Alligator mississippiensis: one gene and its partners. The protein of the gene in region 2 purifies or fractionates together with the protein of the main gene of each other region. This does not show direct contact. Links are inferred from orthologs where the notes say so. Each region holds a gene or a part of one and is shown on either strand. Other genes may lie near its edges.

Region 1 (7,704 bases), on a different chromosome or scaffold from region 2:
TAAGTTTCTAGATCTGCTAAAATGTCTGGCTGAAATTGGAGCATAATAGAAGCTTAAAACCTGCAGGACAGGGGAAGTCCTCCCCACATTAAGGCAAACTAAAGTCTCAGTGACTTCCACCTATATTAAGCCTGCTGAATGTGTAGGATTAAGCTTGGAGTGTGCTCTGCAAGCTGCTGGCAGGAATACACCACTGCTCTTTCTTCATACAGAAACTACAAAAGGAGCTACTTGACATGTCAAGGCATTTCTGGGTGGCTATAAGCTGAAGCTCATGCCAGAAGTGAGATAATGGGAAGAGTTGCCCCCAGATAGCAATTTTGCTGGCTGCTGACTGAAGGATGTAGACACGAATGTTGAATCTGTGAAGAAGCCGCAGAGCCAAACAAGTTTCTTGGTGGGCCCCTCTTTGCCCGGGGTGGATGCACTCGTGTGAGCCTGATGTCTCTGGAGACGATTCTACTAAGTCAACTGTTGGTTGCAAAAGGTGTTGCTGCTTCTGTCTATTGAGTTTTTAAAGGTAGACTTCCTAATATATTGGGTTTTCTAGGAGGCTCCTTGTAATGTGAATAAGCAGCTGGCCTCTGAAGTTTGGTCGTTTCCCTCGCTGCCAGTGGCCAGTTAGTTCAGTTCCATAACATCAAATCTAAATTGGCTGTTCTCTCTCACCTGAAATCTCAAGGGGCGGTGGGAAAACCAGCCCAGCTAGTCTTGCTTTGGACATTCACAGAAAACGCTGGGGATGTCCTACAGCTGCAGGAGAAAGTGAGATCAGAGGAGTCCAGTCTGAGCCCCTCGAATCCATCCAGCCTTGCTGTGGGGGAGTTTACTTTCTTTATACAGGTGGCCTCTGAACTTCTGGGATCCTACAAACAAATGCTTTTGTTTAAATGTATTACAATGGGACCATTCTCATGAGTGAAATTCAGCACATTGGAAAGGTTGTCTTGGCAGAGCTGGGACCTTTCGAGGGCAGGGAAGGACTCGTCTGATGCCAGTGTAGCTGGGACCATGCTCTGATCATTCGGGACACTGATGCGATCATTGCTTTCTATGTAAACTCTTGGAATCTGGTTGTTTGCTGCTGGGGTTTAACTGCTTACTCTGTTTCTTCTTTTATGTTCTTGGCAGCTTTTAACTTTTGTGGTTTTTAAATCCTTGTATAAATAAAAAGTCCAAATAATTGTAACTTGACTAGACATCTTGCTCCTTCCAAGGGCTGTATTTTTTTTTATGTCTTGCTATCATCTTTGTATGAAAACTTTGGAATTGTGACAGGGGGAGAGACTGCAGATGGGGGTGGCACAACTCTGCTTGTCCAGGTGGAAAAATAAACCTTCTGAAACAACTTGAAGCTTCGGCATGTCCTGTTCTTGTTTGAACCAGGGTAAAACCGAGTTCTAACCCCCACCATGTACTGACAGGAGGGTTTTGCCTACCTTCTGCCAACTCATTTTGGACCCATGCTTGTGTCCTGGGTTACAAACAGGAGGTGGAAATCCTAAATCAAAGCACATCTGTCTGAAACGCTTCTGTTACCACTACTTGTTTTCCACTGCAGGAGCAAGAAGACGTCTCGTTAGGTATGACCCCTGCCTCTACCCTGCCCCTAAGGAATAAGGGCAAAAGAAAAGTCCTTCCAGCCTAATGCAAATCACCAAAGCAGGGCCCAGGAGATGTGGGGCAGGTTTCTCAGCTGCACAGCTGCCCTTGTGCCCCAGCATGGGCAGGAGAAACAAGTAAAAGACATCTGCTACAGCCTTTCTAAAGAGCGTGTGTACTCCCCTGGGGCCAGCACTCACTTCAAGTCTTGGAGAATTAGAACCAGGAGGGCAACTGATTTACCAGTGGGAGATTTTTGTCCCCCTTGCTTCAGGTAGTTTATTGAATGTAATTTGGACATCCCGGCACTATTGTAACAAGGACTTTTATCCCTGAGCTAGAGTGAAACTAGCTTAGCTGGTACTAGCAGGTCTTTTGTACTGTCTGGACTACCTGCTATGGACTGAAATGACTGCACACTTATGCTGTGTTACAGCTGCCTCCAAATCCTCTAGTGCAAGCAGGTGGACCGAGTGAAGAGAATTTCCCCCACTGTAAAGCCTCCTTTGGATAAAGCAATTGGCTGCAAATCACACTGGGCTCTGCTTTGAGCAATTAGTTTTCTGCATCCTGAGCCCAAGGTGGTCAGAGACTTAACTCTGTGGCCGTTTACGCTGCAAGCCTAAGGGTAAGAGGCCGTCACGCCGCTAAGGTCAGCGCTAATGCAATTGTATTTGCTTACAGCAGGGGTGACGTCGGCCTCAGGTGTGGAAAAAGGCAAGTAGGATCTAACAGCTGGTGTCCTGGGGCAAGGCTGGCTAATGAGATTGCACAGGCAGCGCTGCTGCGTTTGCCCTTCACATGCTCTTGCGTGTGCTTCTCTGCTCCATTTAAACACTACAGCACATCGCAGCAGAGCATTGGCTGACTTCAAAGGGCTACAATAAAACCACAGCAGGCTACAAATGATGCCTGGTGCCAATGATGGGAATGCCTTGGGCCAGGGGAGCATAAATTGGACTGAAATAATTCAGCTAAAAACAGCATGTCGGTAGTGGCTGACAGGGCTAGATCACCGGCCTTCTCAGTAGTAGCAGTGGGGACAGGTACACAGCCCTGCCAAGCCCCTATTGCACCATTAAAAGGGTAGTGTCCTCCCTTCTATTTGTGCTGGGAGCTGGAAGTGGGTGGCTGGGGCACTGTCCCCTGAACGGGCACAGCCAGGTCCTGGAGAGCTGCTGGGTACGTAACAGGACTCCAGGAGCTGGCGCCTTAAGATTATCCCCAGCGCAATCATTCTGAAACTTTGACCATTGCTCCTGTCCCTGTTTTGGCTTTGAGTTGTACTGAATAATCAGTGCCATGCCCCTAGTGGCCCCCATCACCAAGCGGGGCTCATAGCTCTACGTGTTGAGCTTTGGCCCATGTTCCCAAATGGTACATCAAAAGGCCTGTGTCACACGCAGGGCCCCCAGGGACTGCGGGGTCGTTTCCCTGTCCCTCCTCCATTCACGTCTCACCAGGCAGTGTCCGCCAGCTCCTTGAACACGTTCGAAAGCCAGCAGGCAATATCCGCTGTGCTGTGCTCGGCGTCCCGTCTTGGCACACTCTTTTCGGACCTTTGACCATTGTTCTCATCCCTGTTTTACCTTTCTTTTGTCCCAAGAAATTAGTTGTTACTTTCTCAGCAGCCTCCTGTCCTAAGGAAGTCTTCTTGTTCTTGGTGGGGAAGAGCCCACGATCCCTTGGAAGTAACAAATAAGCCTGTTTCACGCGGTGGCAAAGAACAAATGCTGAAAGGAAGCAGGAACTGAGTCTGGCCAGGAGTTTTTCCCTATTGTCCCTCTCTCTCTTGCAGCCTTCAGCATTTCAGTGCTTAGGAAGCTCCTTCAGAGGCCGCGGCCCACACTCCCAGGCTCAACAGCGGCTCTCCAAGAACGGGTCCAGGCCCTTGGCTGAATCTGGCTGGACGGTCAGCTCCCTGCGCTAGTGACCCTCTGGGTGCAAAACAACGTCCTGACGTTCATTTTACACTGACCACCTGCTTGTTTCATGCTCTGGGCTGGTGGGAGAGACTCGGCGCTCAATGCTGGCTGACTTCCTCTCCGCCATCTGGGGTGGCGTGCATCCCTCTTGTCCCCCCCCTCCCCAAACAAGTGTTTCTCTTCCCAACCGATGAGGCCGGGCTTTCGCCTCTCTCTGCGTGGGAGCCCCTAATCCCCCTGGTTGCCCTTGTGTGGCCATCTCTAGTTCCTCTCTGTCCTACGGGGGCAACCGGGCACGGCAGCCCAGGGCTGGGGGCACCAGGGGCTTGTCAACGGGGCTCATAAGCAGGGATCCTGGTTTTCTCGGATTTAAAAAAATCCCCAATTTTCGGTTTAAAAAGAAAGAACCCCAAATCCACATTTTTCTGTGATTAAACCGAAACACCGTGTGTGTGTGTCTCTATATCTATAGATAAATCTATCTAGATCTATATAGATAGGTATACAGATAGATTTGTAGCTATAGATACATCGATCCGTATCTATAGATAGATTAATAGATAGGTATAGTGGTGTTTCATTTTAATCATGGGAAAATGTGCATTTGGGGTTACATTTTTTTAAACCGAAAATTGGGGGGGGTTTAATCCGAGAAAACCAGCACCCATGCTCGCAAAATTTATGGGTAGGCCCCGCCCCTACCCTGAAGCCCCGCCCCTTCTTGCAGCCCTCTCCCCTCCCCACCCCGTTCTCTAGTCCTCCCGCCCTCAGCTACCATCGAGCGGCGCGGCTAGAGCGGCCTCCGGCTGGGCCGGAAGCGGAAGTAGCCGGACAGTGTCAGTGGAGTGCGTAGCGCGCGGCGGCGGCGGTGGCGGCGGCGGCGGCGGCTCGGCCGGGCCTGGTCACCATGGGCGACGACATGGACGTGATCCCTGAGCGCGACATGAAGGTGGGGGAGGGGGCAGAGCCTCGAGGGGCCCTCTGGGGTGCGCGGCGCTGCACAGCCTGAGCCCCAGGAGTCTGCGGTGGGGGAGGGGCAGGTGGGGGGTGCTGGGGGAGGATCAAGGCCCCCCTCGGGGGTGCTGGGGGGATTAAAGCCCCCCTTGGGGGTGGTGGCTGCTGCAGGTGTAAAGGGGAAGGTGGCTCCCTCCGGCAGCACGGCACCAGCGGCTCGTGGCCACATCGCCCTGTTCAGATTGGTCCCAATGGTGCTGAGGGGGAGGGGGTTATCTTCCTCTGTAGCAGGGGGCTAAACATTTCGTATCAGATGCCTGCCTCAAATTGTTCGAATAAGACGGCAGGCCAGGGCGGCGAACGTGGAAGTGTTAAATGTTGCTGGTCTGTCATTCGTGAGAACGTTGACAAGTAAGACACGACTCGGGTGGCTTGGTCATGTCAAGAGAATACCGGATCGCAGGATCCTGACGACCGTGCTGTACTCTGAAGCTCGCGCAGGGTCTAGAGAGAGGCGGCAGGCGCTGCACGGGTTTCGCGATGCTTGCAAAGGAGACTCGGCATCTTTTGGCACCTCCGTGGCTGATTGGGAAGGCAGTGCGGAGTGCTGCTCTGGTTGGCGGACTCAGCTTGCAGATGAGCGAGGCGCTGCGGGGTTGACCAGATCAAGTTTTGCGACGACCAGCGTCAGAGGAGGAAAGAATCTGCTCGGATTCAGAGCATCGCTAGCGCGTGGGTGGCGTGCCCTGTCTGTGGGCCCTGTCACGTGCGTTGGATTCAGCAGCCATCAGAGAACTCATCAGCGCGTACGCCATGCTCTGTAAAGAGCAATGGTGCTAATTGAGTGATTGTAGCAGGGGTTGTGGCCTCCACCCCAGATCCCTTGGGCATATATTGGCAACCTTTCATAGAAGTGGGACATTGGCTGCCTTGGTTTCCCTGCTTTATCAGTGCCAGGTTTGGGTGCTAGGTCTGTGTTGGCTCAGGATTGATGGTCTTACGTAGAGTTTGGGTGATGGATGATAGAGGATGGTTTGGATAGGGGTTGGGCCTGCCTCAGGTAGAGGTTGGACTGGATGAGCTCTGGAGGACCCGCCCAGCCGGACTCCTCTGTGGTTCTATGACATTTCCAAGCCCCCCCCCAAGCCAGGTGATATGGCCCCCTGTGTGGGACATGACCCAGGGTTTGGCCCCCAGCCCCACATACCCTGGGTTCAGCCCCCAGACTAGGGATGAAAGGTTGGGTACAGCTGCTGCAGAGAAAAAGCCTTGTTTCACCTGAACAACCCTCAAGAGGGATTTTGGCACCAAGCAGAAAGGCCTGTCTTGAGCTCTGGTCGTGCAATTTCATAAGAAAGGAGTTTTGCCTCCTTTCCATCGCTTATTTCCTGTGTGAAGTGTGCGGCCCTTATCCTTGTAGGTGATTCCTGGGAAAGTCCAGTCTTTCCATGCCCGTTGGAACCTCTGGAGCAGATCGTTACAAAGGGTTTGGCCTTGGCTCTCTTGGAAATTCAAGCATTTTGTGGTGGTTGACCTATTTGCGATGTATTCCGGTGGTTCTTCATTTGAGAAAGTGAGGAACAGCACTTCTGTTGGCATAAAATGAAAATGGTCAAAGGTCAGGCTGAGAGCGCCTTTACAAAGGATGTTAAAGAACAGAAGATTAATTTTAACTTCCTAAAAATAGGAACAAGGGAGGAATGGGAGCTGCTTTACAGTAAGGCTGGGGTAGAAATTAAAGGTAACCTAGATGTGGCCTAATACTTAAATGAGTATTTCAGTATTCGTGTAAGATGTTGGTACAGAGCCTATTATGTTCCTGTTGTATTATGTGGGTCAGAGACTTTGGGTTTTAATAAAGAGGGATTTCTGCAGGCTGTAGCAATAAATAAAGGTATGTATTGGGAGCTTGAGATCAGACTGAGTGAGTGCTAAGGAGCATGTTAAATCAGCAGAGTTGAAGACATGGGTAGAAAGACAAGAGCTGGTGTAGTTGAAGCAAACAGGAGAGAATGCAGGAGGACAGGATACTTCATGGCATGATGAAGGTGCATACTGAGGGCAAGAGGCAAAGGGAAAGACTGGAAAAACCTGGAAGGGCATTTTGACTAGATGGTGTCAGGGAAGAAAGTATGTATATAAGATAGCAGGCAGCGGAGAAGAAGTGGAAGGAGATATATTACCAGACCCAGGGCAAATTTCATGCACTCAACGGAAATTTGTGTGTATTTTGTCCTTATACAATGGGAGCGCATCTTTTGGAGATGATGGAGGAGGAGGAGGAGTGTCTGCATATACTAGTAAGTTGTAGGCTGACTGAGGCTTCTTCAGTGTGATGCAGCCATGAAAAAGGCAGCACAGTCCTAGGAACTATCAGGAGGATTTCCAATAGGAGGAAGTACTGGCATTAATGCCGTAGCACAAAGCCCTGGTACCTCATTGGAAATATTGTGTGGTTTTTCTGGTTGTTCAGATTAAAGAAACCAAGGTTTCAAACTTGGACAGATGCAGAGGAGAGCTACTAGGTTGACTGGAGAATAGGGAGTCTGTGTTGAGAGGAGACAAAAAAAAAAAGCTTGGTTTGTTCAGCTTAGTGAAGCAAAGGCTGAGTAGGAAATGATCACTTTTTTTAAATACATCCAGGGAGGGGAAAAGAGCTGTTTAAGCTAAAGGGCAGCATTGGCATGAAATCAAATGGGTATAAACTAGTTGTGATTATATTTAGTTTAGAAATTAGGCTTGTGACCATTGGAACAGTTAGCTTCTGGAACAGCCATCCTGTAGGTGTGGTGGGGGAAATATTTCTAAAAAAAAAAATTTAAGATGAAGCCAGGTGTATTTATGGAAGGGATGCTATGATGCAGTTGCTCGAATAGCAGGGGGCTGGATTCAGTGATGCTCTTGTAAATCCCATGTTTCTAATTGAGCGACTGTGTTTGGATAAAAGTATGTTTTAATCTGGTTGGTTTCTCCCTTCTCCCTGTCACTTTGAGTCACTGCTTAATTCTTTTGCACAACAGGATTTTCAGTTCAGAGCGCTGAAGAAAGTCCGAATTTTTGATGCTCCTGACGAGCTCCCCAAAGAGCGTTCCAGTCTCCTTGTTGTATCTAACAAATACGGGCTGGTCTTTGCCGGTGGAGCAACTGGCCTGCAAGTCTTCCACACCAAAAATCTTCTAATGCAGAATCAAGCAGGAGAAGATCCCAATAAAATTGGTGAGCT
Region 2 (7,725 bases):
CATGCAACAAAAATCACTTACCCAGCAAAGTGTGACCTGCTCTGGGGGGGAACATAGGAATCATTTGGCATTGGCACAGCAGCACAGGGATTGCTTGCCTAACAGGAAATCACATCCCTCTCTGGGACAGAACTTGGGAAGCAGTTAACAGCTGCACAGCAACACAGCATGATAGTTTAACACAGGAAGGAAAGGTCCCCACATCCAGTTGAAGGTGGGGAAGTAGCCTCTCTTCTAACTCCAGCACGGTGACTCCAGGCACCAAGCACATTTTCTAGTCCTGCTCTACCTTTGGATGATTCACTCAAGCAGTCAGTGAACCAAGTAAGAGAATCTAGACCTAACACATGCACAGCAGATTAAGCAGCTGTACCCTCAGCAATGGCCTCCATCAGTGAGTCTAGCTATACAGCAGGATGTGTGCATCACAGGGAATATTCATCACCCACAGGGAAGTTCACACTCTTTGCAGAGGACAGGACTGGGATTCAGGAGATCTGGGCTCTATTCCTAGCTGGGCTACTGGCTGTCTGGTTAACCTTAGGCAGTTTGTTTTCCCTCTCTGTGCCTCTGCTTCCTTTTCCACATACAGGAGATGACTGAAGTCCTCTGCTCTGAAAAGTGCTAGTTATTATTATGTACAGCTGGTGAGCATAGCTAAAAAATGAGGAGAGGCTGAAAAACCAGGCAGAGCCAGGACCCCTAGGCTCCATCCTCAGCTCTCCCACTGCCTAGCTGCATCACCTTAGATGTGTCATTTTGCTAGTCTCCACCTGTAAACCAGGGTGAAGAGCAAGGACACCTGCATTCCATTTTCACCTCTGCCTGACCTTGGACCAACTTCCCGATTATAAAGCAGGGTTAATACTCACCCACCTCCCTAGGGACAGGTTCCTGTTCCATATTTGTACATCCTTCTTTCTTGCCTTAGAAGAGCATACTCTTCCCTCCAGGCTAAGGCACTTAGCAGGGTAGGAGGGGAAGGGAGCAGTATCTGTGGATAAAGTACTAGGAGCCAGGACTCCTGGGCTCTATTTCTGGCCCTACCACTCAGACACCATATGATCTTGATGTGTCTCAGTTTCTCCAACATGGAGTGTTATGAGGGGCTTCATGGCTTGAAAGGATGACAAAGTTGGAACCTTACAGGTTTTAAAAATTTATACTCCATTCCTCCACTGGTTCATCTCTTGGCAGGGTTAGGAGCTTCTCAGAGATAAATGGAGTTCCATGGCATTCACTGTGCCTAGAACTTGAAGAGGAAGGTTGTCTAAGGTAATATCTGGCTGCTGGGTGTTGAGCTCCTGGCACCTTTTATATCAAGAGGAGGATTTTCTGCTAGTGTCCTCAGTTAAACTTTCCTCTCCCTCCTGTAGCTGGCTTCCTCCTCAGAGGCAGCTACATTTCAATGGTGAGTGGTTTCTAAAGTGCCAGGGAAGCCATATGTCAGCAGAAACAAGGATGAGTTAGAGAGACATGAACTGTTTCTCTGAAGGCAGAATGAGATGGGACACCTCTGCTCAAACAGTCTCATGCATATCTGCAGACAGACAGGACTTTCCTACTTCCGTCTGAAAAATGGGGCCCCTCTCATCCCTCCCTGTTATCAGCCTATGGGTACCTGTTGCCTGAGAGAATCAGGTTGACTATATCTGGCTACTCACCCCTTCTCCCCATGGCATTCATATTTAATACAATAGAGCCTGATTGTGTTACTAATTACTCTTCCTCCTACAGCACAAACCGCTGAGACACCCTCTTCACCTTGGTTTAATTATGCAGCTGCACCTTTGTTCCTTGTTCTCCTTTTCTGCAAGACTTTATTTAGCATCAGTGCATCTCAGGAGTTTGACTCAGGTATTGTCCACATGTGAAAGTTGTATTGCTTTAACTATCCTGGTAGTTAAAGGGACATGTATGTTCACATCCATGAAATGTCATGTGGTTATATGTTATGGCAGTTCCTCCTGTGGCAAGGGTGTCAAACATATGGCCCACAGTCCCCCAGAGGGGCTGGAGATTTAAGGATGGGACAAGTAATAGCAACATTAACCTCTACAGCCCCCTTAACTGACAGTAGTTCAGGCACCCACAGGGGTGAATTTGAAATCCATCTCTCTGCCACTGAATTCTGGGGTATAGAGCTTCACTGGGGACTTGTTTGCCATACGTAAGCTGCTGCTGCAACAAAAGAAGTGTTATGCCCCAGGGCTCCCTGAACAAACAGTGGCTTAAGCACCCATAGGGGTTATTGCCATTCCTGCTTACCCTGCTGCAGGGGTTGGGGGGGCGGCGGCAGGGGACACAGGAGCAAATGAGTTTGACACCCCTGCCACAGAAAGAAGGGATCTTTTGCCATCCTTTGTCTACACTAGGGATTGGACTGCTACTCTTTCCATTGAAAATAAAAGGTCTCACACTACTACCTGGAATACATTTTCCCAGTACAAAAACAGTGCATAGATTAGTCCCTATTGATATGTAGTATGGAGCACCTTGGAAGCCAAATCACAGGGCACGTTGTGTTGGGCACTGTCCAGAACAGGACAATGTTTGCCCCCCCCCCCAAAAGCTTACAGGACACCAATTTCAGGCTTTGATTTCTGCCTTCCCTTACTAGTATATCTCAGATGAATCAGCCTCTAGAAATTCAACCAGATAGAAAACATTCTCTACGGCCTTCTTCACCAGCAGGACGCTGCACCATATTTATTTCCAGTCTTTGTGAAGATTTTCATTCTTACTGTGGTGGGTTCTACAGAACTGCAGTCAGTGACAAAAGAGCAGTCAACTACCTTCACGTTCTGCTTCAAAAGTCAGAGCTGGTTCAGTTGTAGCTTGGGCTGCTGACCATTCATACCCGACAAACGTCAGTTTTAAGTGCTACCAGGTGTGGATTATTTCTAGTGCTAGTTGTAGTGTCATTTAATCCCAGCCCATCAAGGGGATTCTCCTCCTCCCCCCATGTACCATTTGTGGGCTTCCTATTGCCTCCTGGGCTCTCTGCCTCCAATGGGCTGACCAAAAGAATTTGACACTGTTACAGAAGTGAAGAGAACACGGGCTGCGATGCTATTACGGACAAGGGATGCTGTTCAGGTAGAAGTAGGTAAGAACTAGTATGACTTGACATAGGATCATGCTTAATATCCTTATAGTTGTTGTCATGTTAGAGTTAAGGGCACTAATACAGTAGCTAGGAGAGTATTTAGTTAACCAATGCATATAAAAATGTGTTGAAAGTGCTAGCCCTGGAGCACCTCCTGAGCTTTGGATGCCACTGAATTTCAGTGAGGAAGGGGATGTTCAGGTAATTCCCAGCCCTTTCCAAAGGCACCCCAGGATCTTGTACCACCCAAATCATGCACACGGAACAACTCTTTGACATCAGGTGTGCCCAATATAGCAGATTTCTGTGCGAGCCCAGTGCCCCTTACACACGCTGTTTGATGAGGAAGAGCCACAGCTGGGGCTGGAGGAAAGCTGTTTTCTGCAGCACTCGCATCCTTCTCATCTCTTCTTGGGTAGGCACATGGAGGCTGCAGCACCTTCACAGGAGAAGAGAGGATGGGGAGATCTTAAAGCCTCCTTGCCACCATCCCACCCCACCCCACCACAATCGCAGGGGCAAATACGTTACCTTTAGCGCAGCCCTTGGTGGTGGGCTTCATCCTTCCAAGGGAAGCGCTTTGTGACAGCTGCGATGGAGCCTCGCCTCTCCGGGGGCCCCACTCCCCCGCTGGGTCGGAGCTCCCCCGAGCAGCGGCCGCCTTCAGCTCAGGAGCTGCAGCCCCCGAGCAGCGCTTCTCAGCCTCCTGCTCCAGCCTCCCCACAAGGAAGAAGACCCCCTCCCGGAGATTCCCCCCTTCCAGGAGACCCAACCCCCCCGAACCCTTGCGGGCTGAGCGCCCCCTCTTCCGAAACCAGCTGCGAGCTGCCCGCGGCGCAGCGGGGCCCCCGGCTGCACCCTGCAAGGACCGCTGCGGCAGCCCGGCGCTGCACGCGGTGGGGGAGGGGAAGTCATGACGCAGAGCGCGCACGCGGCTCCCACACCCCCCGCTTGCCGCCACTTCTCTTGGGCGCCCGGGCGCGGCGGCGACCAATCAGCGCGCGGCGCCGGAACCCGGCGGCGGCCCGCCGACACGCATGCGCCGCGGCGGCCGGGCGGCCAATCAGCTCGGCGCGTGGCGGGCGCGGGCAGCCAATGAGCCCCCGGCAGCGGGGCGGCGGGCAGCGGCTCATATCCCTCCGCTCCGCCTCGCCGAGCCGCGCTCCCACCCGCCCCTTTCTCCTTCCGCCGCCGCCACAGTCGCCTCGAGCAGCTGCCGCCGCCGCCGCCCGGGTCCCCGCGCCGCAGGAGCCGAGAGAGGAGCGGGCCCCGCCCCACCGCCGCGCCGCGCCGGAGCCTCCGCCGCCGCCATGGAGCTCATCACCATCCTGGAGAAGACGGTCTCGCCGGGTAGGGCAGGGCAGGGCCAGGCGGCGGCGGCGGGCGCGGCTGAGGGGGCGCGGGGCCGCGGGCAGGAGCCCGGGCGGGCGGGTGGGGCGCGGCGCGGCCGCAGGCGGTGCGGGCCTGGGCGGGTGGGGCGGGCGTGTCGCGGCGCCGCGGGGACGTAGTTTTTCCCCGCGCGGGGCCCGTGGGCAGGGCAGGGCAGGGCAGGGCAGGGGCGGGCGAGGTGAAGACGGCGGGCCGGCCCGGGCCGGGAGCTGCGGCGCCTGATGCGGCCTGTCCCTTCCCCGCAGACCGCTCCGAGTTGGAGGCGGCGCAGAAGTTCCTGGAGCAGGCGGCCATCGAGAACCTGGTGAGCGGGGCGGCCGGGCTGGGGCCGTACTGCCAGGCCGGGCCGGGCCGCCATAAAGGGTGCAGCCTACCTCGCCGGCTCCAGCCGGGGCGGCGGCCGGCCAATGGCGACGCGCCCGGGAGACCCGGCGGCCAATCGCAGCGCGCATCCGGCCCGAGGGGGAGGGTGTTAGGCTGCGTGGTGCTGTGTGTGCGGCGGGAGGGGGGAGAATGGGGCCTGCGGGACATGTGGGGAGCCCGGGCTGGGGCGGGGGGTGGCTCCCTACCCCCCGTCCTGCCCCCACTGCCACCATAGGGCAAGTCCTGCCTGCCCCCTGGGGTCTTGCTCCCTTCCTGTGCTGGGGACCCATCTCCCTCTTCCACATCCCCTCATGCTGCTTTGCGAGGCTGGGTGCAGGGTGCTCCTCTGTTTCTTTGCTGACTGACTTTTTTTTGCCTCTGGCCATCACTTGCACCTCTTCTTCTTTTCATTTGCTCCATTTGTTTCTCATTCTCTTTTTCCTCACTCACTGGGGCTGGGTCCTTTTTTTCTCATCCTCTTCCCCTTTTGATACCCCCTTTCTGCTTTTCATCATCATTCCCTGTCTTCTGGGCTATGCCTCCCTCCCCCTTTGTCTGATCTGGCCTGGAGTTCGGAGAAGCAGAGAGAGCTTCACCCTGGGTTGGGGGAGGGTCTGTGTCTGAAGTGTATTTTCTTAAGGAAGTTAGGGTGGCGGGGAGCAGAGCTCACACCCTCAGGCCTGCAAAAGGCTGTCTCGTGTTGACCTGTTAAAACACATGGCAGCCCCTGCACATGAGTGCACTAAAATCAAGGATGGATGGGGCTGCAATGTGTAAGGTTCTCCTGTGAGCAGCCAAATAAGCTGTTTGTCATTATGGCAGTTCAGTGAAAGGGTACAGGGGTGTGTGGCTTGTTGCTGTTGGTCACCTATTTTTCTTTCAGATTGGAAGCAAAATGTGGGTGTTTTTCTTTATGTGGACATATATGTGCTTTCCACTTCACCGGTGTCAATGGACAAGAAATTCTGAAATCATAGAAAATGAGGGTTGGAAGGGACCTCAGGAGGTCATCTAGTCCAGCCCCCTGCTCAAAGCAGGACCATACCCAACTAGATCATGCCAGCCAAAGCTTTGTCTGCTCAAGTCTTAAAAACCTCCAGGGATGGAGATTCCACCACCTCTCTGTTGTAGCCTGTTCTAGTGCTTTACTGCCCTTCTATTGAGACAGTTTAGGTGAGGTATTGGGAAGAACTTCCTTTGCTGCAACTTGGGACAATTGCTCCTTGTTTGAGAACAGTCTAGCTCCATGCTCTTTGGGACCCTTTCCCCCCCTTCAGGTAGCTGAAGACTGTTATCAAATCCCTCCTCAGTTGTCTCTTCTCCAGACTAAACTGAGATATCTGTTATGCAACTCCATGTTTTTAGTGATCATGGAACCCTTCTGAAGCATAATTGGAATATTTTTTATGTTTAATATCTTTCTCTTTAGTTCCTGTTCTATGGCTAGCTGTTTAGTAAATCATAGCCCTCCACTGTAACTGTGGAACCCAACTGTAGCTGAGAAATTTTACTGGTGCAGCTGATGAAAATGTGTCCCAGTCAGTTCTTGCAATTTTTTCCTGCATACATTCTAGAGCATTAGCCAATACTTTTGGCAGAGCTTGGTTATGTATAGAGGCTGTGAGAGCATGTACGTTGCAGACCCAAATCCAAATGTAATCTAGAAGGATTTTGAAATTAGTCTATCTAAATTACAGATAGAACTGCTGATGTTTGGACCCAGAATAAAACAGCTACTTACGTAGTTCTTGTTAAATAAATAGTTGCAGGAAGCAGGCAGAAAATAAAGTAATGGCGAATACAAGCTGCTCCTGCTTTTCAGCTGTATGTCCCAGAGTTCCTCCGCATCAAATTCAGAATGGAATTTTGAGAGTTGAGCCCAGTGTCTCCTTGGGGGTTGTGACCCTTGCCATTGTCACATTTTTTTTTCATCAGCTTCCACAATCTAGTCTGGCAAAATTCCTTCTTTCTGACTTTATAATAAAAGTTCTTTGGGGATGAGTAAAATTACTTTTCTCATTATGGTAAAAGGTGAATGAGGGAGATTTTTGTTTTAGGCCAATATGCTTTTTGGATGTTTTTGTAAGGCTTAATCGAGCTTATATTGATGGACCCAAACTTTATTTGCAAACACTGTATTTCAGGTGTCTAAACAGACTATTTGATAGCCTCCTTACAATTCTGTCAGGTGATATATTCACAAAGGTCATATATAAATCTATGGTCTTCTGTTACATGCTGCTTACAGTCGTTCCTAGCTACTACCAGAGTTTTCCATTCTGTCTACTGGGAAATTTGTACAGGTTTCTAACATTTGAGTGCAACTGTTCAATTTTTAGGAATTGGTTGCATTTGGGTTTAGAGCAGACAGCCGATGCAAGTCTTCCTTCAACTCCTATGTCCAGCTATATTGTATTGACATTAATGCAGGTGTACCCAGCTTCTTTGGGTTTGTGTTTTTTTTTTTTTTTTTTTCCTAGTGTAGACAAGGTCTTAGACTAGGTCACTTCTGGCATGGGCACTTCACTGCTGCAGCTTGTTCTCCATACCTCATACAAAGCAAAAGACTATAAAAATGCAAAGCTGCCAAATTGCAAATGGTCTTAATTCATGAGTGTTTTTCATTAGTCATTATCAAAACCACAAAGTAAAAAATCAGGTATTTATATAGATAATACAAAAATATCTGTACATAACTAACTTGGACATCAGGGAAATTGTAAGGTAAATTTATTCTTGCAGAAATATTTTTTTTTATTGTATAAGAACTGACTAATGTCAGCTTTTTAAAGTTTCAGTGTGGAACTACAGCTTGGGTGCTTCCCTCAGGGTCAAGATTTGGATGATACAGATTTTAGAATGGG
Region 3 (7,329 bases), on a different chromosome or scaffold from region 2:
GCACTGCAGGAAGCATGTGCTACAGATTGGCCCCATGTGCTCTGCCTGCATTCAGTCCAACCCCACACACCACATGCAGCACATGCTGGCCCTGGTCCAGGGTTCATACTGCAAGCAAGCCCAGCATGGGGCATGTACTGCATGTGGTGCCCATTCTGGACCAGCCCTACACACTGGCTCCAGCATACAGGGATGGTCTGTAGGTCCAATCCAGACTAGCCCAGAGCTAGTGCCCAGGGCTGGTCTTCTGTGGGAACTGCATGCAACATGTACCCAAGACTGACCCCCTGTGCTACATGAGGCACTGGGGCTAGTGTGTGCCACATGTGGTATGTGGGGATTGGCCCAAGACCCACAGACCAGATCATAGAGCTCCACAGGTCAGATTCAGCCCATTGACTGTTTAAATTAGTGGGGGGGGGGGGGGGGGTCAAAGATTCAAAGACACGTTCAGGCATGGGAGATGGCATGAGATGGAAAGTCTGATGGTTATTTATTTGAGATGAGGGCTACAGCTTTATAACAAACTAGCCAATTACCGGTCACAAATGACCGGGGAGAGGGGGCTGGGATGGTGTCCCACCACCTAACGCCCCATGCTGCCGCAGTTCTGCCTCTTGCAAGGAGCAGGGTGGGGGCCTCAGCTCCCCACCCTCTGTCCAGTCCTCTGCCTGGCTTTGGAATCACAGCGGTGCTCCCCCACGCTTGGAGCACTCCGATTGACTGTTTCTGTCAGCCAATCACAGCGTGAATAAAGCGTTACCGACAGACTTAGGCTTTTATATTAGAATATTTGCCATCATAGTTATATCAATAGGAGGAGGATGACATGTGAAAAACATTGCTTGCAAAAGCCAGGTGCATCTCTACCCTGCCTTCTGCCTGACTTCAGGCTAATGGGCTAACAGCCTCTCAGAAGTCGCTGGCGCAGAAGCAGTTATTCATTGTTCATTTTCAAAATTGTTCGTTTGCTGGTATATCTTATTTTCATTTGGTCAGGGAACATTCCTTTGCTAAACCCACATACTGAGTATAATACTGATCTTAGCCTAACAGCCAAGAAGCAGCCTTTGACACTATGCGACTCAGTCATAGGAGCCACATAAGCAGTCACTGTTGACTAGAGAGCTGTAAAATAAGCACCTTTAGGTAAACTGCAACAAGGACACTCCAGTTCAAAATCAATTTCAGTGAAGAGCCAGCATGGGTATCACTGGACTTGTACATCTGTTCTGGCAAAGCTCTAACTGTAAACCTGCTCCCAGCCAGAGGCTTATTCTCAGGGAACCTTAGGTTACCACCATGAGATAGTAGAACACACGGTAGACATGCACATTAACTGCTTTAAAATTGCTTCCCTAATTGTTCTGTCTAATAAATAAACAGTAAGTCTCTTTTGAGCAGCTTTGACTCCCTGTAAACAGCACTAATAGCAGATTCCCAAAAAGAAGACAGGGCAGGGTGACACCTTAGAGACTAAGCGATTCAGAGGCTTTTGTAGGAGGCATGGAAAATACTTAATAAGATGCTATGAATAGACTGCTGGATGCCAGTTATGTCTTCTCAAACACAGACCACATCCCCACTGGACCAAACATAATGAATTATAACATCTGGGGTTTATTCCTCTATTCTTCCACCAACAACTTACATACCATCACCAGCTTACAGTGCTTACATCAGCCAGATAAAGGCAATTCCTAGGCAAAAGAATGAACAGACATCTAGCCCAGAAACTTAATGAAAGCTGGTGGCCAAACACCTCAGCCTCCTCTGACACCTCACGACTGGCCCGAGGAGCTCTTCTTAAAACAACATTTTAAATTCCCACTTCAACATAATAATTGCAGCACAAGAAGTCAGCGGCAGGCAGGACTACCTCAGCCACTGTCTCAAAGGGGACTGGCGTTTCTTATCCCATTACCTGAACTGGCTGCTTCCTCTGGTGTCCCTCCAGCTGGGAGTGAGCTGCCTCCATCTCCAGGGAGCCAATCCATCGGCTGTCAGCTTCTCTGGGCAGCCCCCCTCTCCTCACCTTTCTATTTAAATACATCTTGCTTGTGTGTCATGGAATAGTACCCTGAACATTTATGTAATATTGCTCAAACTCTACTGCCTCTTCCCTGGCACACCTGGCTTGCAGATAGAAAGCACAGTAAGAAACAACAAATCCCAATAGGCCCAATGCCAGAGCTTCTTAAAGGCACAGTTATCCAGTTTCAGGGATACAGGCTGTAGCCTATTGGTCTCTATGCTGGCAAAAGGAATTATAACTCATGGCAGACTTTTGTTAGACCAACTAGATATTTGCAAAAAATTTTTTTACTGAAACCTGAAAGCTGACACCCTGGTTTCTGCCTATTGTTGTTCCAGATAAATCTGCATCTTCACAGAGCTCAAAGCTGCCTCGGCACAAGATCTATGAATCTAAGAGAAATTCCTTGCCCAGGAGACCAGTCCATCACCGCCCTCCTGTGAGAGATGAAATGTCATCACTGGAAGGAAACATAATTCAACATCCTGCTTGACTCCAGACAGCACCGAGATAAAATGGGCTGTTCTAACTTCCACCTAAGCCTAATTTGCCAAAATTAACTATTCCAGCCAGGAGATCTTGCACCACCTTCTGCTCTCCTGCGAAATACGAATTTTCATTTCCACCGCGGAGAAACTTTACAACCTTTTCCCTCTCCTATGAGAATAAAGACAGATGCTTGCAAATATCTAAAAGAGACCACCTCTGCCAAGAGTTCCGACCCCAGTTCTCCGCCGTGTACTTGCACCCATAGCTTTCCTGCCGCCGCGCCTGAGACCCAGGAGACAGCTCCCGCCTCTTGGGACTCGGCTCGAGGTGACCCCGGGCTCCCGCAGCAAGGACCTGCGGGCGCACCGCCGGCGAAGGAGGACCGCGGCGCACACCGGGGCTGAGCACTCGACGAGGCACCGGGGCCCGGCCCCGCGCTACTACCGCCCCGGCACCTACGAGGCAGGAACACCTCCCAGCTCCCCTCCCGGGGCCCCGCTCCCACCTTGAGATTAGCGCGGAGTCCAGCGACCTTGGCCACCTGTTGCAGCTCACAATACTTGAGCGACTCCAACGGGCGCAGGGAGAGCGGCTCCATGATGGCGACGGCCCGGTCCGAGCCGCACTGAATAATCCCTACGCCGCGCGTCAACCGTCCGCTTTGAATCCGGCGCTCAACAGCCCGTCCCCGCCCCCCGTTCGAACTGGCGCTGTCCGGCTCTCCCATTGGCAGAACTGCCACGAGAGGCGGGTGCCTTAGGCAAAGCTCCGACCAATGGGGCTCCGGCGGCGCGGGTTTGTTTTTTTTCGAACGGCCTGGACTGAAAGCCCCGCCCGGCGCTACATCCTCACGATCTGATTGGACAGCAGGATGACGACAGTAGAGGAGGACTCCCTCAGGCAAGCGGCGTGGGCGTGCGGAGACAGTAAGAGAGAGAGGGAGGAGTGAGGGGAGAGATTGAGGTGTGTGGCTGCCAATGCGAGTGCAGGGCTGGGAGGCAGGCACCCAATCGAGGGAGGGGAGGTGCATTCGAACGCGCGGCAGGAGCCGGGTGCGAGAAGATGGCGGTGCGGCGGAGGCTGCTGCAGCAGTTCTTCCAGGACCCTGAGATCGACGGTGCCATCATGGTGGAGCGGCCGGCGGCGGCGGCCCCCGCGGGCAGCGCGCGGAAGGCAGCGGCGGAGGCGAGCACCGGGGCGGCGGCTCTGCGGCGGCGCCGGTTGCGGCCGCAGGACTGCGCCGTGTTCCAGTGTCGGGGCTGCTACGCCGTGCTGAGCGACTCGCTACACCTGTGCGCTCAGGAGGAGCGGCGCCTCCGCGTCCTCGCCTGCTTCAGTGAGTGCCGGCGGGGCGAGGGCCCGAGCCCGGGCCCGGCCTCGGAGCCCATTGCCTGCCTCCTAGCGAAGCTCGGACTGTCCGGGGCACTGGGCTGTGCTCGCTGCGGGGCCGCCGGGCTGAGCGCTCCGGGACAACGACACTCCCCCTGGGATCTCGCGGATGGGTGAGCAGGCGGGCGCACCTGGCCCTGCGCCCGCTGTCGGGGCCTGCCTGGGACAAGCCAGGCTCATCCGTGCTAGTTGGCACGCAGGCTTCCTGTCAGGGATTGCCCTGATGAGTCAAGCCCCCTCTGGGACCTCTCCGCTGTCTTCAGCCTGAGCCCCCGGGATCCCAGGGTAAACTGCTTTGTCCCAGAGTAAACCTCTCCTCTGGTTTTAGCCTGCCCCAGGCTGGTGGCAGGTGCCTGGTGCCCCACAGTATGGTACAGGTGTATCCAGGTGGGAGTTAGCTGCTTCCTGGTAGCCCCCCTCCTCCTCTGCAGCAAGGCAGAGCCCATGAGCATCTAGGTCTCTCCTTCAGGGAAGAGAGAGCTTCAACAGATGCACTCCTCTTTTTACCAGGGACTCACAGCGGTTACTATGGAGCTGGTGTGCCTCAGCTGTGCCCTGCTAGTTGAGTCTGTGGTCTTAGCTTTCCCATGCACCCCTCCCAGGCAGGCACAGCTCCAGTTCTTATTTCACCATCTCAAAGTCTGTCTCAGCTGCCCAGTGATTTTATGCAGTGCAGTTATACAACAGCTGCGGGGGTTGGAAAGTCCTGCGCATCTTTATCCTGGTCCAGGTTGCCTTGTATGTCCATGTCCTTTAGGCGTAGGGCACTTTTTTGCTCTGTTTCTTTAAAAACGGAGCTATCCAGCTTCTTGATGCCATAGATTTTGTTGGCAAACAAGCCCCACTGGCCCCAGGAGGCTATTTTGGCTGCCTGGTATGGCTGCTCCCTGGGTGAGGATGTCAACCACAGGCTACTGTATGAAAAAGGTGATCACATCTGGAAGTGGCTCCAGCTGCTGTGCTATGTGCTGAATGCAATGCTGACAGCGTGAGAGAGGCACGCTGGGCCTGTCTGCTGGATTCACAAATTGGGTATCCCCGGTGGCTGTAGGCTTATGTTGGGTACCAGACTGGCACTTCTATCATTGCGTAGTAGTAGACTTTTGGGCACCTCAGTAGGTGTGGAGAGGTTTTGTGGACTGTGCTCTTAGGCCTGGGCTTTTGAAGTGCATCTTAAGGCTTCTTGGATCTGGCCATAACTTTCTCCTAAATCAACAGATGTTAGAAACATGGAGATGGATCAGTATGTTTCCATTAAAACAAAGATTAAACAAATGTGACTCCTCCCAAGCCTATATACAGGAAGTCCAGAACTCAGTTATCTTAAGGGGAAATGGAAATTTTAATGAATGATCTGTGGTATATGACTCTGGATTTGTCTTTCTCAGAAGTTACAGAAGATGTTGTTCTAGAAGATTCCTTAAGAGTTGGTATTGACGGGTCCCTCCTAGGATGGTAGGTATTTCAAATACTGTTTCTTGGTTTTGATACCAGTTTTCTGTTTGAGATGCTGACCTAGTAGAGCAGGTGAGGGTTATTGTGGTGCCTCTGACTTCAAACAAGTCATCTGGAGAAACATTTTTAAAATCACTAGCTTACTCTTGGATGGGCTTACAAAACTGACAAATACTTAGTTTGGTTTCGGACCTGCCTACTGTAGTCTCTTACTGAAAAAAGCCTTTGCAAATCTACAGCATACGTTCCATTCCTTTCTTCCCCTTTCACATGCATCTAGACATTTGCTATATTTGAAGTAGGGAGAACATTTGAACAATTCTAATATAATAAAAGCGTCTGTCTGTCACACTCCAGGACAACTGCGCATGCACTGAGAGGGCACGCATCAATTGGCTGGGAGGGTCTGGAGTGTTACGGACAGGGAGCGAGGTAGCTGCCGCAGTACCCCGGCCAACAACAGCCTGTGGGGGGTAGGTGGCAGGGAAGAGGGTTGGGGGGAGGTTTCCAGTGGCAGCTGGCAATTTGCTAGCTGTAAAAAGAAACGGTATCTCCCCCATCCCCCACAAAGTCTGGGGGGTTGTGTGTGATGGGGAGAGGGAGAGAGCGTATGTTTTGGTTCTGATACCTTTTTTTGTGCTGAAAGTGAACAACTATTTATGAATCAATTGGTATAAGCAAGTCTCTAGACCAGGGGTCAGCAACCCCCGGCATGCGTGCTGAGCATGGCACATGAGGCTATTTTGCTCAGCACGCCACATCAGCTCCGTACCAACGCGTGCACCCACGTGTCGGAGCGGGTGGTGGGGTGGAACCTGAGGCAGCGCAGCCCCAGTTTCTCGCCTGCTCCTGGCACAGAGGTGATAGCAGGGTTCCAGAGCCCGGCGCAGCTGTTTGCAGCCAGCCTGGGCTCTGGGCAGCTGCAGCAAGCAGGGGGCAGGCTGCAAACAGCTGCACCAGGCTCCATAGCTCCAGCATCAGCTCTGTGCTGGCGGTGACTGCACGGGCACCTTGGGCAGGCTCTGCTGCCCCACTGTCTGCTCTGAGTGCGCATGCACTCACCACCAGGATGGAGCTGATGCTGGAGCTGTGGAGCCCAGCTCAGATGTTTGTACCCTGCCAGCTGCTTGCTGCAGCTGCACAGGGTAGGAGGGCTGGGGGGCAGGGGCTTTGGAGGGGGCACAGAACTGGGGGGCAGGGGGGGCAAGGGGCACAAACAGGGCATTCTATGTACCCCTTGCCCTCATTTTGTTTTTCTGGCATGCCAGCACTCTGGCACCTTGCAAGGTAGGCATTGTGGTGTTTTTCGGCGCTTTGGCCAAAAAACATTGCCTACCCCTGCTCTAGACGATTAGTTCTCAGCCTTTTTAGACTCAAGGCACCCCTCCATGACTGTTATGAATTAAGCAGTGCTCCACTTCAAAACTAATTTATCACAGTTCTTACTTCCTTGCAGAGGGAATAGTAGTGGGAATGGAGGCTTTGCCAGGGAGGGAAAAGTCAGGGTACATTTTCACCTTGTAGACCAGAGAGGGAGACCCTGAGCCACGGGACCCTGGCTGAAAATCATTATTCTAGACAGCAGTGTTTCTGCACTACCAGTTCTGGAGTGAAAGGAAGGACATAATTTCAAGTTATTCAAAGCTCTGCAGAAAAGGAGATAATTGGCAAAGGCCTACATGCTCTATATACTTTTTTTTTTTTTTTTAATTAGATTTTATGTGATAAGAAATTGAGCTTGACTGGGATTGCTGCTTTTAAAGATGGGTGGCATACATTTCTGTTGTCTGCAAGCTTGGAGAGACTGCATAGGTTAAGTATTGTATTTAATTCATATTTGGACAGCTTTTTTAAATTACAAGGACTAAGAACTCTTAAACAAAAGTTGTATTCTGCAAAAGATGAGGGTGCTATTATAAGAAAGTTTCCTACCCAACATGAGAAATTTGTTTTTCTGTTTG
Region 4 (7,445 bases), on a different chromosome or scaffold from region 2:
CAACCTTTCCTTATATGGTTTCCATTCTAACCCCTTTACAACCTCTACTGCTTGCCTCTGGATCCTCTCATTTCTATAAAGAATGTGGAGCCCAGCACTGTAAGCAATGCTCCAGATGAGGCCTAAGCAGCACCACGCAGGTGATACTATCACCTTTCATGTCTTGTATACAATACTTCTGGCAATACAGCGCAAAACAGCATTTGCTTTCTCCTGACTGCATCACATTGCTAACTTATGTTGAGACTGTGATCCACCAAAACTCACAGATCCTTCTCAGCGATGCTCCTGCCTAACCAATTAGCTCTCATTCCATATTTTTGCATTTAGTTCTTCCCTAGGTAGGGCCTTACACTGGTCTCTGCTGAATTCCATAGTCACCCTGTGCATAATTCTTCAATTTATGGAGATTCTTCTGAATTCCACTACAATTCTACTCCCCCAATGTGTTCACAGCCCCTCTCAGTATTTTCTCACCTGCAAACTTCATGCAGAAGCTCTGTATTCCTGCATTTAAGTCATTAGTAAAAATGTTAACACTGGATTCAGTGGCTCCTCATCTGAAACCTGCCACTTTGACCTCAATCGACAAAGTTACATTCTGCTTGTGTTATTCAACCAATTACATAGTCACACAACAGTAATTTTATCTAGTCCACATTTCTACTGTTGAGAATGCCAAGTGGGATCATATCATGTCTTACTAAAGCGCACTGCAGTCCCTTGATCCACTGAACTAGTTACACTAATCAGGACCTTGGTTTGGCAAGGTTCACAAATCCACACTGGCTGCTACTGACTGCACCTTCCTCTCCCAAGTGCTTACCTGCTGACAGTCCTATAGTTTGCTTTAGTACCTTCCCAGGATTAACTTCAGGCTGACCAGTCTATAATTCTCCAGGTCCTCCTTTTTAGTTAGCTCTTCTCCCATTCCCTGGGACTTCACCTGTCATGCATGGCTACACAGATACTATTATCAGTAGCTCTGACATTTCTTCAGCACCCTGAGATGAATTTTGTCAAGTCATACTAGCTTAAATTCCTTCAAATTGGTCAAAAGAGCTTTTATACCTCTATTTTTTCATGAACTGCAGCCTTTCCTCTTCTTTGTTTATATTAAATTGTTAGCAGTCTGGTCACAGCTTATTTTTTTGAGACAGACTCAGTAGTCACTGAACAACTCTGCCTTCTTCACATCCTTTATTAGGGGCTCACTATTGAGCAGTGGATCCAGTTTCCCAAGTATTTCCTTTCTATATAAAATATTTTGAGAATACCTTCTTCTTGTCAGTCACATCCCTTGCCAGATTTGATAGACAGATAGGTAGATTTTTTTCACCATTACATTCTTGATCTTCCTATTCCTTGGTATACATCCTTAGTGACTCTCCTTTCCTTCCACAGACTGTAACGTTCCCTTCTCATTTTGAGAGGCAAGGATTGTTTGGAATAGTTTTTATTGGATCAATTATGGTTGGGAGAGCTGGTGGACAAGCTTTTGGGGCATTAATTGGCCTTCCTCAGGTCTAAGAAAGAGGAAGACACAGGCTGAGCTAACTAGGAGACAGAGGTGTCTGTGTTAATACAAACAGTCTGCTTAGAGAGATGGAGGAGCACTGTGAACAAAAGGGCAGGAGAATGGGCAAGATAGTAAGTGGCAGAAGAGACCATTGAGAAGGGAGAGGATAGTTATAACTTGCAGAGCACAGGGAGATCAACAGCAACATTTGTTAGGTTGTAGTGAGCCATAATCAGGATACGAGGCAAGGATGTCTTAGGGAAATAGCTTTGATTGGACCAACTGTACAGTAGGAGCTTTCCAACAAAAGATGTCCTTCCTTCATCAGGTCTCTTGCATGCGAAAGCTGGCCTAACTCTACAGCACAGCTAGTCCAATCAAAGATCAAAGAATAAAAAACCAAAGTAACTAACAATGCACACAAGATAAAATAAATACCGATCCCCCTGGGACAGTGGTTTTCAACCTTTTTTTATTTACAGACCCCAAAAATGGAGGTGCAGACCCCTCTGAAGTGTAAGTGTACTCACATACTTCTGATTGATCAGTCATCTTTGGTGGCCCCCATAGATTAGGGGGAGGCAGCCCCCAGCACAGGTGCCAGAGCATAGCAAACGAAGGCGTTTCGCTTGGCACGCTCGCTTCACGGTGGACAGGGGGGAATAAGCTGGGGCTGCGCCTTCACAAGGATCAGGCCCCTCGCGGCTCCCCCACCATCCTCCCCCGGCACATCAACATCCTACAAATCGAGGCTGCAGGGGTTGTTGGCGCTGCCCAAAAACAGCCAACCCCTGCCTTAGACACAGTCAAGGGGATTGACGACCGCAAGCTGAAAGGCACTGCCCTCGGACAGCCTTGCCTCTCCCGTCCTGCCTGGGCTGCCGCGGCTCCCGCACCTTCCTCCTGCTGCCACCCGGGCACACGCTGGCTCCTGAACCTGCGCACCTTAGTCCCAGTCAACCGGCGAAAGAAGGAGTCAGCATTTCATCCAAAAAACTGTATTTGCTAATGAGAAAGTCACAGCACATCACACATCGAGTATGCAGGCCTGAAACAGGAGCGGGCACGAGGGGGCAAAACCCACCCCCAGGGACTGGCAGCAAAGAGCCACTTCAGCCTCAGGCTGCTGCCAGCCCTGGGTGCACACGACGTGGGCCTGGCCACTTCTGCCCCCAAGGGAGCTGAGGGAGGGGCACAGACGGGCTGGCCTCGCGCGGGGCAGGAAACAGAGCGGAGTGGAGCCACCTCTGGGACAGACCCGGCCCCCTGCCAGGGGGGGTGCCATATACTGCCCCCCTACACCTCCCCCCACTCCCCCTCTTCCTTTCCCCTCCGCCCCTCCCCCACTCCCTTCACCGCCCGAGCCCGCGCTCACCCGCAGCGGCCGGAGCCCCCGAGACACCCGCAGCCGCCCGCTCCGCCTCGCTTTCAAATCTCCCCCGAAACCGCTCATTGGCCGAGCCAAGCCAGCTCTGCGGCCGCTCATTGGCCCGCGGGGAGCCGGTCGGGCCCGCTCATTGGGCGCCCAGCCCTCCCCGCCCTTCCTATCGACTCCCGACAAGGAGCCGCCCCGCGCTCTCATTGGCCGCCCACCGTCTCCGTTACGGAACCGCGGGCGCATGACGACAGCGGGGGCAGCGCTGTGATTGGTCGGTCGCGGGCTCCGTGGTGCTCGTCCTGGGTGCAGCGCCAAGACCCCCCCCCCCCCCCCGGAGTAGGGGGTCTTACTGTGACCGCTCCTGGGGGCGTGTGTCCGCCCTCGGGTTGGGCCGCTTCCTCTGTCACTCGGCTCCCGTCTGTGAAATGGGCGTAAGGAGTCTTGCCATTTGTAATCTGCAGCCGGGGTGTGAGTCCCCCTGAGCGAGGCAGCTCCCCGGTGCCCCAGAACAAGGGTGGAAGGGGACCGGCCTCACACAGCGATGGGACCCGTTCTGTGCCACCTGTGAAAACAAAGGCATTTTCCTTCCTTACCGTCCCCTGTTTCCAACATCCACAACACCGGGATCACAGTAATGCTGATCGTGTGTTGAACCACTACCTGGCAGCTGACCCGCAGCATCTCGTTGCTGTCTTGGGTAAGGTGGGTATTCATCAATTGTCCCGTGTGTTGCACGTCGATGGTAAACTTTCTGAAACAAAAATGTTCATTTTTTTTGTGCGTGTTCAGTGAAGTTTCAGTCTAGGACAAGGGCTTATAGATGCTAACAGAAATAAGCACTAGCAACAACTGAGAAAATAATCTGTAAACTCTGATTTTTGCCATTTTGTATAGAATAAGGCCAAGAATACAGAGCTGTGCTTGAACTTGTAAGTAAATACAGCATATCTTTTTATAAATGGATTTTCAGAAGTGCTCAGTAGGGCCCTACATTTCGCCAAACTCATTGGAAAAACCCTACCCATAGCCTATCATCTGTCCTGCATTCCTGTTCTCACGTCCCTCCTATATATCATCTCCCATTTCTTAATGTCTGCAGCTATATGCTGGAGAAACTAATAGTTCATGGTTCGTACTTGACATGGTTTGTACACATGGAAAGAGTAGCTGGACAAAAGAAAGACAATCTACACCAGCGTTTTTCAACCTGTGGGTCATGACCCCAAAATGGGTCGCAAGAATAGATGAAAGGGTCACAAACACAGTTTAAACATGGATTCTCCTTTAAAAGGAGAAAAACGTGGGGAAAATTGGCTTTTCCCTTGCAGGATGGCAGAGTCCCTGCCAGAGGAGCTGCTTGGGGGTCCCCATGCCCCACATACACCCTTCCTTTATCCCACATGCTGGGGGGCTGGGACCTGGGGGCAGCGGATTGGGAGTGAGGGGCACTGGGTTGGGACTGGCTATTGATGTTTACAAATGGGACCCGGTACAAAAAAGGTTGCGAACCACTGATCTACACAACATTAAAATCCGAAAGCATCAGTGCAAACCTCAGCCGCTTGGTGGCACTGTAAAAATGTAGGTGTAGACAATGGATTGAAAAAAAGAATAGTGCAAAATACGATACAGCTGAAAAGCATAAAACGTACGGATAATCTGAGAAGCACCATATATTGCAGTCAGTGTAAAAATGTTTCTTATAGGATAGCAAAGAAGGTGACATTGTGTTTTATAAATCCAGCTTTCAAGCCACAGGAACACAGAAGGAAATTCTGGGGGGATACTAAACAACATTTGTTTTTATAATGGAATAGGACATTTTTAGCTGCACATGGGTGCAGTGAATGGGGACAGCAATAAATGGATTAGAGACCGGTTGGTGCGCTTAGGCAAAGAGTTATTTCCCGCAGAAAAGATTATGCTGAATCATTTTAGATTCGTCTTCCTCATTTCAAAATGTAGAGCATCCCACAACATTTCAACCTGCACAGATGGCCATATAAGCCGCTAGTGGTTACAGCAAAACCCTGGGAACTAGGGACATCCTGATTAACCCAAGAAGAGTCACTGACTTACCATATGACAGTGAGCAAGTTAGTTTGCCCTGTCTGCCTTTTGCTAGACAACCACAAGGTCAAGTTCCCATCAGGTGCAAACTGGTACAGATCCAGTGAAAAAAATGGAGCTATACCAGTTCATGCTAGTGAAGTATTTGACCCACAGGCTGGATCCAGATGAGAGTGGCCGTGCAGTATGTGGTGCTGCAGACCTGTCTGTGGTGGCACAGACTGCACATTCAGGCATTTCCTGTGCTGCTACCCTGAAGGATGGGGGGGTGTTGATCCAGGGGTCAAAAAAAACCAGGCAGAAAAAAAGCAGGGCAGTGCACGCAGGCAGGGACAGCACACACTGCCCAAAACTAGAGCCTGGCCAGCCAGAGCTATGCTCCAGCTGCTGGCTAGGCTCCAAGCTGCAGGACAAACGTGGCTGTAGCTTCCCTGGCCCCCAGATAAAGTTGCTGGGGCCAGCAATTGTGATGGCCCCAGCCTCCCCAACCCCACCTGGGGTAACCTGCCACGTGCCAGAGAGCATGTGGCACAGGCATTCCCCAGGGATAGCTAGCAGTGGCACAAAGACATGGCCACAGAGTCCAAATGCAAGAGATCCTGAGTACATCTTCCTTCCCAATGCAATGAAAGCTGAAAGCATTCAGTGCCTTGTGTACATTCACTGAGTATGGAGTGTGTTGCGAGGTCAGGACCTTGGATGTATGGTCACGACCAGCTTTATTCTGAGCTGAGGATGGGAACTGTACCACCACCGCACTGCAGAATTTTGATTCCTACACCGGAAGTGACATCACTGTGCACACCAGTGTCACCGAAAGTTGGAAAATGGATACAAGTTCTGGCAATTGGCCACTTACACTTCCTCTGCACCTTGCATCACTGTTTACCTGACCACTTTATGTCCTTACAATTAATATAGAGGATTTTCCAAAGACATTGCTGATGGTCATGTTCCAGAGCTTTCAAGTGTTTCCAATATGTCATCCAAATGTCACACCCATGCAACAGAGTAGAGATGATACCAGCCTTTAAGATGAGCAGTTTGGTTTGGGTTCTGATGTCATAATTGTCACACATAATTTTGGAGATTTCGAAAAGCAGCACTCCAGTCAAAATCAGATGTCCAAAGACAGTATGAACACCAGTGCTCTGGTTCATACACTACAAGCACTGAAGCCATGTTTATACAGCACCAGCTCTGCTGGACAGGGCATGTCATAAGGATATCTGTCAACTGGCTCCCCAAACAGATCCTATACTCCCAACTCATCAATCATCTAGAGATGGGCAAAAGAAGAAATCCAAGGACACTTTTAAGGCCAATCAGAAGAGATGTGATATTAACATCAATACCTGGGAGACTCAAACACTGAATCATCCCCAGGGGTGCTACAATGTACATCGAGGCATCAGTTATTTTGAGCAAACTCACTTCATTGTGGAGGCAGATAGATGAGAGAGACAAAAGGAAAACCCATGACCTGACATGACCAGGATCTCCTCCCGGAACAATTTGCCATGTCTCCAGTGGAACATGTGGATCTCAGATCAGCCTCCTCAATCATCCACCGGCTCACTGATGACTTCCCTATTTACTAGCAGACTGTCATCCTCATACTGGGGGCCAGCCAACAACATGACCAGTGAATTAGGTGCTTAGACTTACAGGAAAATTCCACCTGATGACTCTGGGCTACATTTAAGTGAATTTGGGCCATCATAAGCTGATGGAGGTGGGTTTAAGTGTTTTCTCCTTCCAAAATCATTGCTCTTTTATAGGCTGAGGTCTCCCTTCCTTTTGTATTAGACAGTTTCCCCCTCTCTCCCTCCCCCCCCCAGTGTTCATGCTGAAAACCCAACATGTTAAATTTCAGTAAAAGCATGTCTACACTGCATTCAGGAGGCATGACTCCAGGACTTACCATAGATTCATAGATGTTATGGTCAGAAGGGACTTCAGTAGGCCATTGAGTCCAAACCCCTGCCCTGGGCAAGAAAGAGCGCTGAGGTCAGACAATCCCAGCCAGGTGCTTGTCCAGTCCCTTGAAGACCCCCAGGGCAGGGGAGAGCATCACCTCCCTTGGAAAGCCATTCCAGATTCTGGCAACCCTTACTACAAAGAAGTTCTTTCAAATGTCCAACCTAAATCTGCTGTCCATCTATTTGTGGCCATTGTTCTTAGTTACTCCAGGGGGTGCCCTAGTAAATCTAGTCCCTGCTGCCCTCCCCTGATGAATTTATAGGCAGCCACAAGATCACCTCTCAGCCTTCTCTTGTGAAGGCTGAAGAGATCCAGGTCCCTCCGTCTCTCCTCGTAGGGCCTTGCCTGCAGGCCTCTGACCACACAAGTGGCCTCCTCTGAACCCTCTCAAGATTCTCTACATCCATGTTAGCTTTAATTTATATAACTTGGGTAACAGCAGCAGCAATGATGTATCAGACTCAGCAGGGACTTCAGCATAGCCTAGTACGAGTC

Evidence for each region.
Region 1: the proteins of KPNB1 (region 2) and NUP214 purify together in Homo sapiens (affinity purification with mass spectrometry; 3 studies listed by BioGRID and IntAct, with this or other methods). This does not show direct contact. The link is inferred for Alligator mississippiensis from reciprocal best matches to the Homo sapiens genes KPNB1 and NUP214.
Region 3: the proteins of KPNB1 (region 2) and NUSAP1 purify together in Homo sapiens (affinity purification with mass spectrometry; 3 studies listed by BioGRID and IntAct, counting the BioPlex papers as one, with this or other methods). This does not show direct contact. The link is inferred for Alligator mississippiensis from reciprocal best matches to the Homo sapiens genes KPNB1 and NUSAP1.
Region 4: the proteins of KPNB1 (region 2) and DLGAP5 purify together in Homo sapiens (affinity purification with mass spectrometry; 4 studies listed by BioGRID and IntAct, with this or other methods). This does not show direct contact. The link is inferred for Alligator mississippiensis from reciprocal best matches to the Homo sapiens genes KPNB1 and DLGAP5.

Annotation. Positions count from the first base shown.
Region 1 is NC_081835.1:59,555,975-59,563,678, forward strand, and holds the start of NUP214 (nuclear pore complex protein Nup214), read left to right. Parts: upstream 1-4,368; 5' UTR 4,369-4,434; coding exon 4,435-4,476; intron 4,477-7,501; coding exon 7,502-7,697; intron 7,698-7,704. UniProt on the Homo sapiens protein: Part of the nuclear pore complex. Has a critical role in nucleocytoplasmic transport.
Region 2 is NC_081827.1:167,231,374-167,239,098, forward strand, and holds the start of KPNB1 (importin subunit beta-1), read left to right. Parts: upstream 1-4,280; 5' UTR 4,281-4,419; coding exon 4,420-4,459; intron 4,460-4,743; coding exon 4,744-4,802; intron 4,803-7,725.
Region 3 is NC_081825.1:239,938,205-239,945,533, forward strand, and holds the start of NUSAP1 (nucleolar and spindle-associated protein 1), read right to left. Parts: upstream 3,267-7,329; 5' UTR 3,252-3,266; coding exon 3,030-3,251; intron 1-3,029. Other genes in the region: OIP5 (protein Mis18-beta), read left to right, coding at 3,587-3,860, 5,302-5,368. UniProt on the Homo sapiens protein: Microtubule-associated protein with the capacity to bundle and stabilize microtubules. May associate with chromosomes and promote the organization of mitotic spindle microtubules around them.
Region 4 is NC_081825.1:293,226,792-293,234,236, forward strand, and holds the start of DLGAP5 (disks large-associated protein 5), read right to left. Parts: upstream 3,029-7,445; 5' UTR 2,895-3,028; intron 1-2,894. UniProt on the Homo sapiens protein: Potential cell cycle regulator that may play a role in carcinogenesis of cancer cells. Mitotic phosphoprotein regulated by the ubiquitin-proteasome pathway.